2 linked regions of the Oryzias latipes genome follow. The protein of the gene in region 1 interacts with the protein of each later gene in a pairwise test. Links are inferred from orthologs where the notes say so. Each region holds a gene or a part of one and is shown in the gene's direction. Other genes may lie near its edges.

Region 1 (3,650 bases):
AACAAATCCATGAGAAGAAATATTTTTCTTGATGTGAGCTCAGTTCTCCTGAAAGTCTGTCCTCAGAGCTATAGGTTTCCATTTGGTGACTAGTTTTAAGAACGACCCGTTCAGATGCTTCTCTCTGCTTCAGTTCATGTTGTTTTTCATTGGAAATGATGTCCTCATAAAAATTTTTTTTTAAAAGGTTTATAATATGTTATAAGGGATGAAATGCCAGTGGAACTTGTAGAATTTGTCCTGGTAAGACTTCTGAAAATAATAATAGGTTAAAGAAAGAAAAAGATCAAAGTAATAAATAGAAAAACTCTAAACACTTATATTAAGTTTGCTTCATCAAATAAAAAAAATGATGTCTTAAAGTAAGTATTGTTAAAAAAATAGCTTTTATTTGATCTTCAAGAAGGTTTATTTATACACTTTCCCCTCAAAATTTATACTGATTTAGGTGATACAACGTTCCAAATATCTGTATTACTGGACTAAAAATCCTCTTAAAGCCAGACTAGAGTAAAACGTACAAAGATAAATTCCATTTTTTTTTTGCTTATATTTTCTTTTCTTTCCTTTTGAAGCAATAAATAAATAAAATACAAGATATTTTTTCCTAGTTTCAAGTGAGAAATCTGCTAAAAGAACTGGTAGAATTTGTGTTATTGAGATGATTATTGATGTCCTGCTCTTTTAAAACTAAATTTAACCAAGAAATTAGCATAAATACTTGTATTCTTCTGCTAATCGAAATTAGCAGACATTTTTGTAGTACAACAGTCCAACTGTTTCTCGACTATAATCATCTTAACGGAGACTAGTTATACGTTTTAAGATGAATTTGTCTTTGAAATAAGATATAATCGTTATGAGTCAGATAAAATGTTCCAGGTTTCTCTAAATCAAACAAGTCTTTTATTTTAAACAAGACCACTCAATATTCATAAATAAAACTTGTGCTAACTTAAAAGAGGATGTTTCAAGATCAATGGATCAACATGAAATCCTGAATTTCTTGTCTTAATTCAGCTCATAACATATTCCTAAAGAATTAAGTTCGTTTTTTTCCGTTGTATCAAAGGGAGTAAAATATTATTTACACCAGAAAAGAGTTTTTCCTGGAAAAGAAATGATGACAAGGGATAAAAGAAGTAATGTAAGTACACAAATATAGTATTTATCATTTTTAAATATTAAATATTGACTTTTATTCAGAAGTTTGGTCTTTCGTGTTAATTTTTCTAACATTTCCATCATGGTTTAGTGTCCAAGAGATCTGGATGTGTTTAAGTCTGACGTACGGAGCAGAAGTGATGCAGTCTGCAGTGACAGCATCCCTGTGCCAGCATTATTACAGTTTATCCCAGGTGTCTCAGCACATGTGACAGACAAACTGACCAGGATGAAGAGCGGGTGACAGTTTTCTTTTTTTATTATTGGGAGAGGAAGCTGCTGATGTGACACTTTTGGTTTGAGAGGAAGATTTATGCAGCGAACAAAGACAAGAAGAGGTTTTGTGAAGCGTGGAGTACAGAGAAGAGGCGGATGAGGTACATGTTAGTAAAAACATAAAGAACTTGTGGATTTGTTTGATCTGCCCAAAAAGCTGATGATGTAAACTGATCTCTGGCCTTTGGCAGGGTTGCCTCCTTTTTTTTATTGCATTCTAAAGATTTGTGCATCATTTTCGTGCATAATATTCTTTGTAGTTCTTGCTGCACAAACGCCAGGAATGCAACCTCCCCCCTCCACGACTCACGACACAGTAAAGAGCTTAAAAAGGTAGGAGGGGATCAGTGGCACCCCTCATGTGTAAGCTGCCTCCATGTGTGTGTGCATGTTGGTGCAGTTGTGCGTCTGAGGGATGAAAGCTAACATCGTGGTTATTAATGCATCCTGCTGAAAAGGAAGTTAATCTGCTGTGAAGGAAGTGGGGGAGGGATTAGTTTGGTCAGTTCACGACTTGTTGGTGATGCTTGATGACAAACGTTTACTGCAAATGTGTTTGTGGAGTCGCGACGGCCTTCCCTTCAGTCCTTCCGTCTTGACCGTTAACTCTGTTCCTTCCACCCGCAGACCATCGTTCGGGGGAACCGGCCGCCCAAAGATGCATCCATCAACGGCCTGCTGGAGGAGTTCGACAACATCTCGGTGACGCGCTCCAACTCCCTGCGGAAGGAGAGTCCGCCCGGCCTCCACCAGGCTGGAATTGGCTCCAAGCCCCTGGGAGGGGGTCATCCCCCCGCTCCCGAGGAGAATGGATTCAACCACTACTACTCCCGCTACTCATGTGACCTGGACACGTCCAGCAGGGACTTTTTACTGGATCCCGGGAAGCCCAGCTTCTCCATCGACGGGGACTGGGCTGTTGGGAGGCACTATCGATTCACCAAGCAGAATGGCCACTCGCATCTCATCCGTAGCCCCTTCTACCCGGACGCCATGCCTCAGAAGTCAGACTATGGCAAGCTCCCCCCAGACTACCACACCTACCTGGAGAGCAAAGGGCGCTCCGCCGACGAGGTGGCCTCCACGGTGGGGAGCGGAGTGGGCTCCAGTGGGTACTACCGCGCTTCGGTGGGGGGCTCGTCCAGCCAGGACTACCGGGACACGTCAGTGGGCACGCCGTCCCGCGCCTCCCTCCACAGCGAGCAGATCACCTACCCAGACAGCGAGTGGAGCTACGGCGGCCTGCGGGACGAATACGACAAGCGGCCCAAGAGTTCCTACGTGACCCAGACCAGTCCCACGCCAGCCATCCGACAGAGGTCGCGCTCAGGATCCGGCCTGCAGGAGCAAATGGTCCCCTATGTGGCCGGGGGCCCTTTCAAGAACCCCCCCCAGGCTCATTCATACAGCTCCTACACCTACCCCCGCCTCTCTGAGAGTCTGGCTAACGCTCAGGCCGCAGCCAAGGTAAGCAGCCGAATCTGCAGAGGATTCCTGAAATGAGGGTTCATCTTTACGACTGAAAATTCCCCAAACTGATGAAATTACAGCAAATCATCCTTTGTATGGCTGCAGCTTCTTCCAAAGCTTCTCTTTTACTTTCTGCAGCTCCTTCCAAACCCTCCTAGACACATTTTTCTTTTCTTCCTGTAAGATAGATGGTGTCACTTTTAATCTCCTCTTCCCTAATGAAAGCGGGCGCCGCCTGCAGAAGAATCACCCGTCCCCAGCAGCTACTGTCTCTGCGCTTCGATCAATAAAGACTCGGCCTGGACATTAATTAGAAAACTTTAAATGGCAGTGCAAGTAAAGAAAAGGGGTGGGAGGTCTTGACAAGCAAAAGAAAAGTAGAAAATGAAATTTCCTGTAGAGGCGTTTGATATCTGGAACAAGAAAACCAACCTTTATTCTGATTGGAAAGAATGAAAAAAAATCCCATTTTGTATTTTTTTGTAAACAAGGCAACAATTTTGACATGAAATAAAAACAAATGTGAATAAATCCAATAAAAGTTAAGAGTTGCATTTTAGATTTGGCACAAAAAAGTCCAACTTTACCCGAAAATAACAGCATATCCACGTATGACTAGGGCTGAAGTAATATCACTGCAAAAAGAAGTAGCTAAAAACAGGAAAAGGAAACTAATCTTGAGAAAAAAATCCCTAGGAAGTAGAAAAATGATCTGCCCATTTTACTTTAATAGAACTCTA
Region 2 (4,077 bases), on another chromosome or scaffold:
TAATGACCGTTTATGTAGCTTAGCATGACAGAACAGTTGCTCATCAGTAAATAAGACCATTTGCTTGTGTATTTGTTAATTTATTTCATTTTCTACTAATAGCCATCAATCATGCAGCTGAGGTCCAACTAGTCCATTTGTTTAGTCTGTTTAAATGTTGGTTTAAAATTGTATTGTTTAAAAACTGGGTTTCAAAGGGGAGGATGTACAATAAAAACTACAAAATGTGAGCCTCTTATCCAATACGGGTCATGTCCCAGTCATTGTTCATTCGTTCAAATACCTCACCAATTTGTTGCAAGGGCAGGGTCCTTTCTGAGTCCCTATATTGTGTCAATTAGAAGTAATATTTAAATATGTTCTACTGAAAGCAGAAGTCAGTTACAGAATAAAATGTATAAAATAGAACAGTTAATAAATATAAGTCTAATAAAGTGGGAAACCACAATTGGTCAAAGCATAAACGTCCATTGATAAAGAATTTGTGGCCCATTGTTTTGTGAATGAAATTTTGATTGTAAAGGTAATTGTCTTATTTCTATAAAGTTTTTGTGTGCTATGGTGAAGTATCATAATTTATTAAAATTGTTGTAAAAAAAAAAAAAAAAAAAAGTTAACCAAACTCTAGTTTCCTGAATGCAAGACTGGTACTTTGCTGCCATGTATGTATTATATTTTGTGTGTAAATATTTTAAAACGCAATTTAAATATAAAATGTAAAGTTTTTAAGTTCTTACTTTGTCCCATCACTTTTGAATACGTTTTTTTTAACAGTTTGTCACAGAAACTTACTAGTCATTTATTTAGTTATTTGTTGTTGTTTTTTTAACTTCTCTTCCTATTATGTACAGGTAGCTTTTAAGGGTCTAATAAATAATATAAAATAAATTAAGAATAGAAAAATATTTTTAAAACAATATTTTAAGAACTACAAATAAAAGAAGAGTTATAGTAAAGTCATTTTCGGAATACTAGAAAAAAACCTGTGTTTTTATTTTGTGGCCTGAAATGTAACTCCTTATTCGAATAAATATGTATTTAGTTGCGACCTACTACACATTTTTTAAGAGAAGGTAATTAAAGCAACCAAGTAAACTCATAAAGACCGAACATTCATTTTTAGAAAGAAGCCCGTATGTTATTTTCTCATCTCTTAAGGAAAGGGGATACTTACCCATAATCCCATGCGGAAATCGTGACGTATTTATTCTGCGACAAACCACCCGGATCGTGAGCTTTATGTTGTAAACAGGAGCAAGAAGCCGCACAAGTAGCATTACCTATATTGGCTTCTATTAGAACCCTTCCTGTCTAAAGTGACTTTTAAAAAAATATAAATATATTTTTGTTTTGTTTTACTTCATTTTGAAAGTGCGACGTAAGTTACTATTTTTCAGTGTTGAATGACGTTTGGTGAACGTTTGCTAACTTTAGCTAGCTAACACAGAATAGCAGACTGATATCAGTTTTTGTTTTTTTCAACGGGATGTTTATAAAAAATAACACTGATAGACTTTCGTTAGATCTACTTCCTTTTGAAAATAATTGCAATAAACACAAATTTAACAACTGCCCACACTTTTACTCTCGTTTAAGCTGAAAGATGCATTGTTAGAAGATGGATCATGAATTTTACTCTGATTGCAGATGTCATTGGCTGACGAGCTTCTGGCTGACCTGGAGGAAGCTGGAGATGAGGGGGAAGATGGGCTGTACCCAGAGGGGGAGGAAGGAGGGAGTGATGGAGAGGGGGCTTCAGGGAGGACAGAAAGACTGGAAGATATCCCCGAAGAGATGGAGGTGGACTACAGTAAAACTGACAGCATTACGTCTATCGCCAAGCTCCGCAATAGCAAACAGGTCTTTGTTTAGCTGACTCTCATAAAGAGTTCCTTTTTTTCACTACCTGAAGGCAGTCCCTTTTAACTGCTTGTTTTCAGTTTTCAGATATAATTGAAAAAATATCTGGATATATTGGAAAACAGCGCAAGAATTCAGATGGTGAGTGTTGAAAAAATGTGCATTTTAACAGAAAATGTTACTGATTTACTTCCATTTCTTTTTCTCCTGTTTACCTGTATTTTCTTTCAGTTTCAGGACCAGTTGAGGCTGACCCAGAATACAGGCTGATTGTTGCAGCCAACAATCTTACAGTTGAAATTGACAATGAGCTTAGTGAGTTGGACTTTTATTGTGCGACAAAACCTAATGAAGAAATTGGATTCTTTCAACTGAAAGTGTGAGGTCTGTGTTTCTCCTGTCTTTTCAGACATCATTCACAAGTTTACAAGGGACAAATACTCCAAGAGATTTCCAGAGCTTGAGTCTTTGGTTCCAGATTCTTTAGATTACATTCGCACAGTCAAGGTTTGTTGATCTTAAAAGATAAGTTTGGAGACGTTGAAGTTACCGGATATCAAATTTTTGATTTTGTTTTTCTTCTATTAAAAGAAAAGATTTGCTGAATGGTTTCCATTATTCTGCATAGGTTTGTTTTTTTCTTTTTGCATCTAACCTCTAAATCTTCCCCCTTTTTTTGTTGTAAATGTGTGCTTCGTATAAAGGAATTGGGAAACAACCTGGAGAAATGTAAAAACAATGAAACCCTGCAGCAAATTCTAACCAATGCCACCATTATGGTCGTCAGTGTCACTGCATCAACTACACAGGGGTAAGTTTAAGAATGTTGGTACTTGTGTCCTATTACAATAAACTTTTTTTTTTAACATTTCCATTATTATGTCTGTTGTTTATTTTATTTACATAGACACTCCCTTTATATATTTTATTGTTTTCCTCTTAAGGTCATTGCTAACGGAAGATGAGCTGAAGCAGCTTGAGGAGGCTTGTGACATGGCTCTGGAGCTCAACCAGTCAAAACACAGGATATATGAATATGTAGAGTCCAGAATGTCCTTTATAGCTCCAAACCTGTCAATCATTGTGGGAGCATCGACTGCAGCAAAGATCATGGGTGAGGAAGTGAAACTATCTAGAAAATATCAAGTTTTTTTATGCCCATACATTTTTTTTTCTTACTTTTGAATTTTTTTCCCTGTTTGGCTGAAGGCATTGCTGGAGGCCTAACAAACCTCTCAAAGATGCCAGCCTGCAACTTGATGCTGCTGGGAGCCCAAAGGAAAACTCTGTCAGGCTTCAGTAGCACATCGCTGCTTCCTCACACGGGCTACATCTACCACTGTGATGTTGTGCAGTCATTGCCTCCTGTCAGTACACCATATTCAAGAATAACAAGTACCTTTTCCACATCTAATGTTTGTTTGCCTTAGTTATCTCCTTTCCCCTTTTGTTCTCCCCCCTCAGGACCTTAGGAGGAAGGCAGCTCGTCTGGTGGCCGCGAAATGCACTCTGGCTTCTCGAGTAGACAGTTTCCACGAGAGTCCAGATGGAAAGGTAAACATCTCAAATTAAAGGAACATTCAGAAATATAATTTCTGTCTCTGTTATTCAACTCCCTTTGTAATGCAGGTTGGCTATGACCTAAAAGAAGAAATAGAGAGAAAGTTTGATAAATGGCAGGAACCTCCACCAGTGAAGCAGGTCAAACCACTGCCAGCCCCGCTGGACGGACAGAGAAAGAAGAGAGGAGGAAGGAGGTCAGTCACTTATGGTTATTAGTATTTGATAGAATTGCCTGTAAATTCATCAAAACCTCTGTTTGTATTATAAATATAGTCAATGGCTTCAAAACTATTTAAGGAATTTTATAATTCTCAAAAACTGCTCTTTTGCCAGAGTTCTTTTAAAAATATGCTGCAATGTAATTGTTGTTTTAAACATCTTTGATATAGAAATACTTTTGTCTAACAAAGAACTAACTAAATGGAGAAATACAATTATTTGGACAGCCCTACTCAGTTCATTTTTGTCCAATTAGTTTACTTTGAAGTATTTTGTAATATCTTAAACTGCAGTACAATCAATTAATCTGCATAATTGTGACAAATGTTGAATTTATCACAGATGTAATGTTTTAGTGAAAGAGATATTGAATGTGTTTATTAGTCAATGCTTTGGTTTGAGCTGCCCTTTATGTTTGTTCTGTAGGTATCGAAA

Evidence for each region. The genes of interacting proteins can lie anywhere in the genome.
Region 2: the proteins of pak5 (region 1) and prpf31 interact in binary tests that used the Homo sapiens proteins (3 or more experiments, as listed by UniProt). The two-hybrid records come from large-scale screens. The link is inferred for Oryzias latipes from reciprocal best matches to the Homo sapiens genes PAK5 and PRPF31.

Annotation. Positions count from the first base shown.
Region 1 is NC_019882.2:2,170,825-2,174,474, forward strand, and holds part of pak5 (serine/threonine-protein kinase PAK 5), read left to right. Parts: intron 1-2,067; coding exon 2,068-2,907; intron 2,908-3,650.
Region 2 is NC_019874.2:19,364,212-19,368,288, reverse strand, and holds the start of prpf31 (U4/U6 small nuclear ribonucleoprotein Prp31), read left to right. Parts: upstream 1-1,205; 5' UTR 1,206-1,378; intron 1,379-1,647; coding exon 1,648-1,860; intron 1,861-1,940; coding exon 1,941-2,001; intron 2,002-2,091; coding exon 2,092-2,175; intron 2,176-2,269; coding exon 2,270-2,367; intron 2,368-2,564; coding exon 2,565-2,671; intron 2,672-2,804; coding exon 2,805-2,974; intron 2,975-3,069; coding exon 3,070-3,227; intron 3,228-3,324; coding exon 3,325-3,414; intron 3,415-3,489; coding exon 3,490-3,617; intron 3,618-4,068; coding exon 4,069-4,077. UniProt on the Homo sapiens protein: Involved in pre-mRNA splicing as component of the spliceosome. Required for the assembly of the U4/U5/U6 tri-snRNP complex, one of the building blocks of the spliceosome.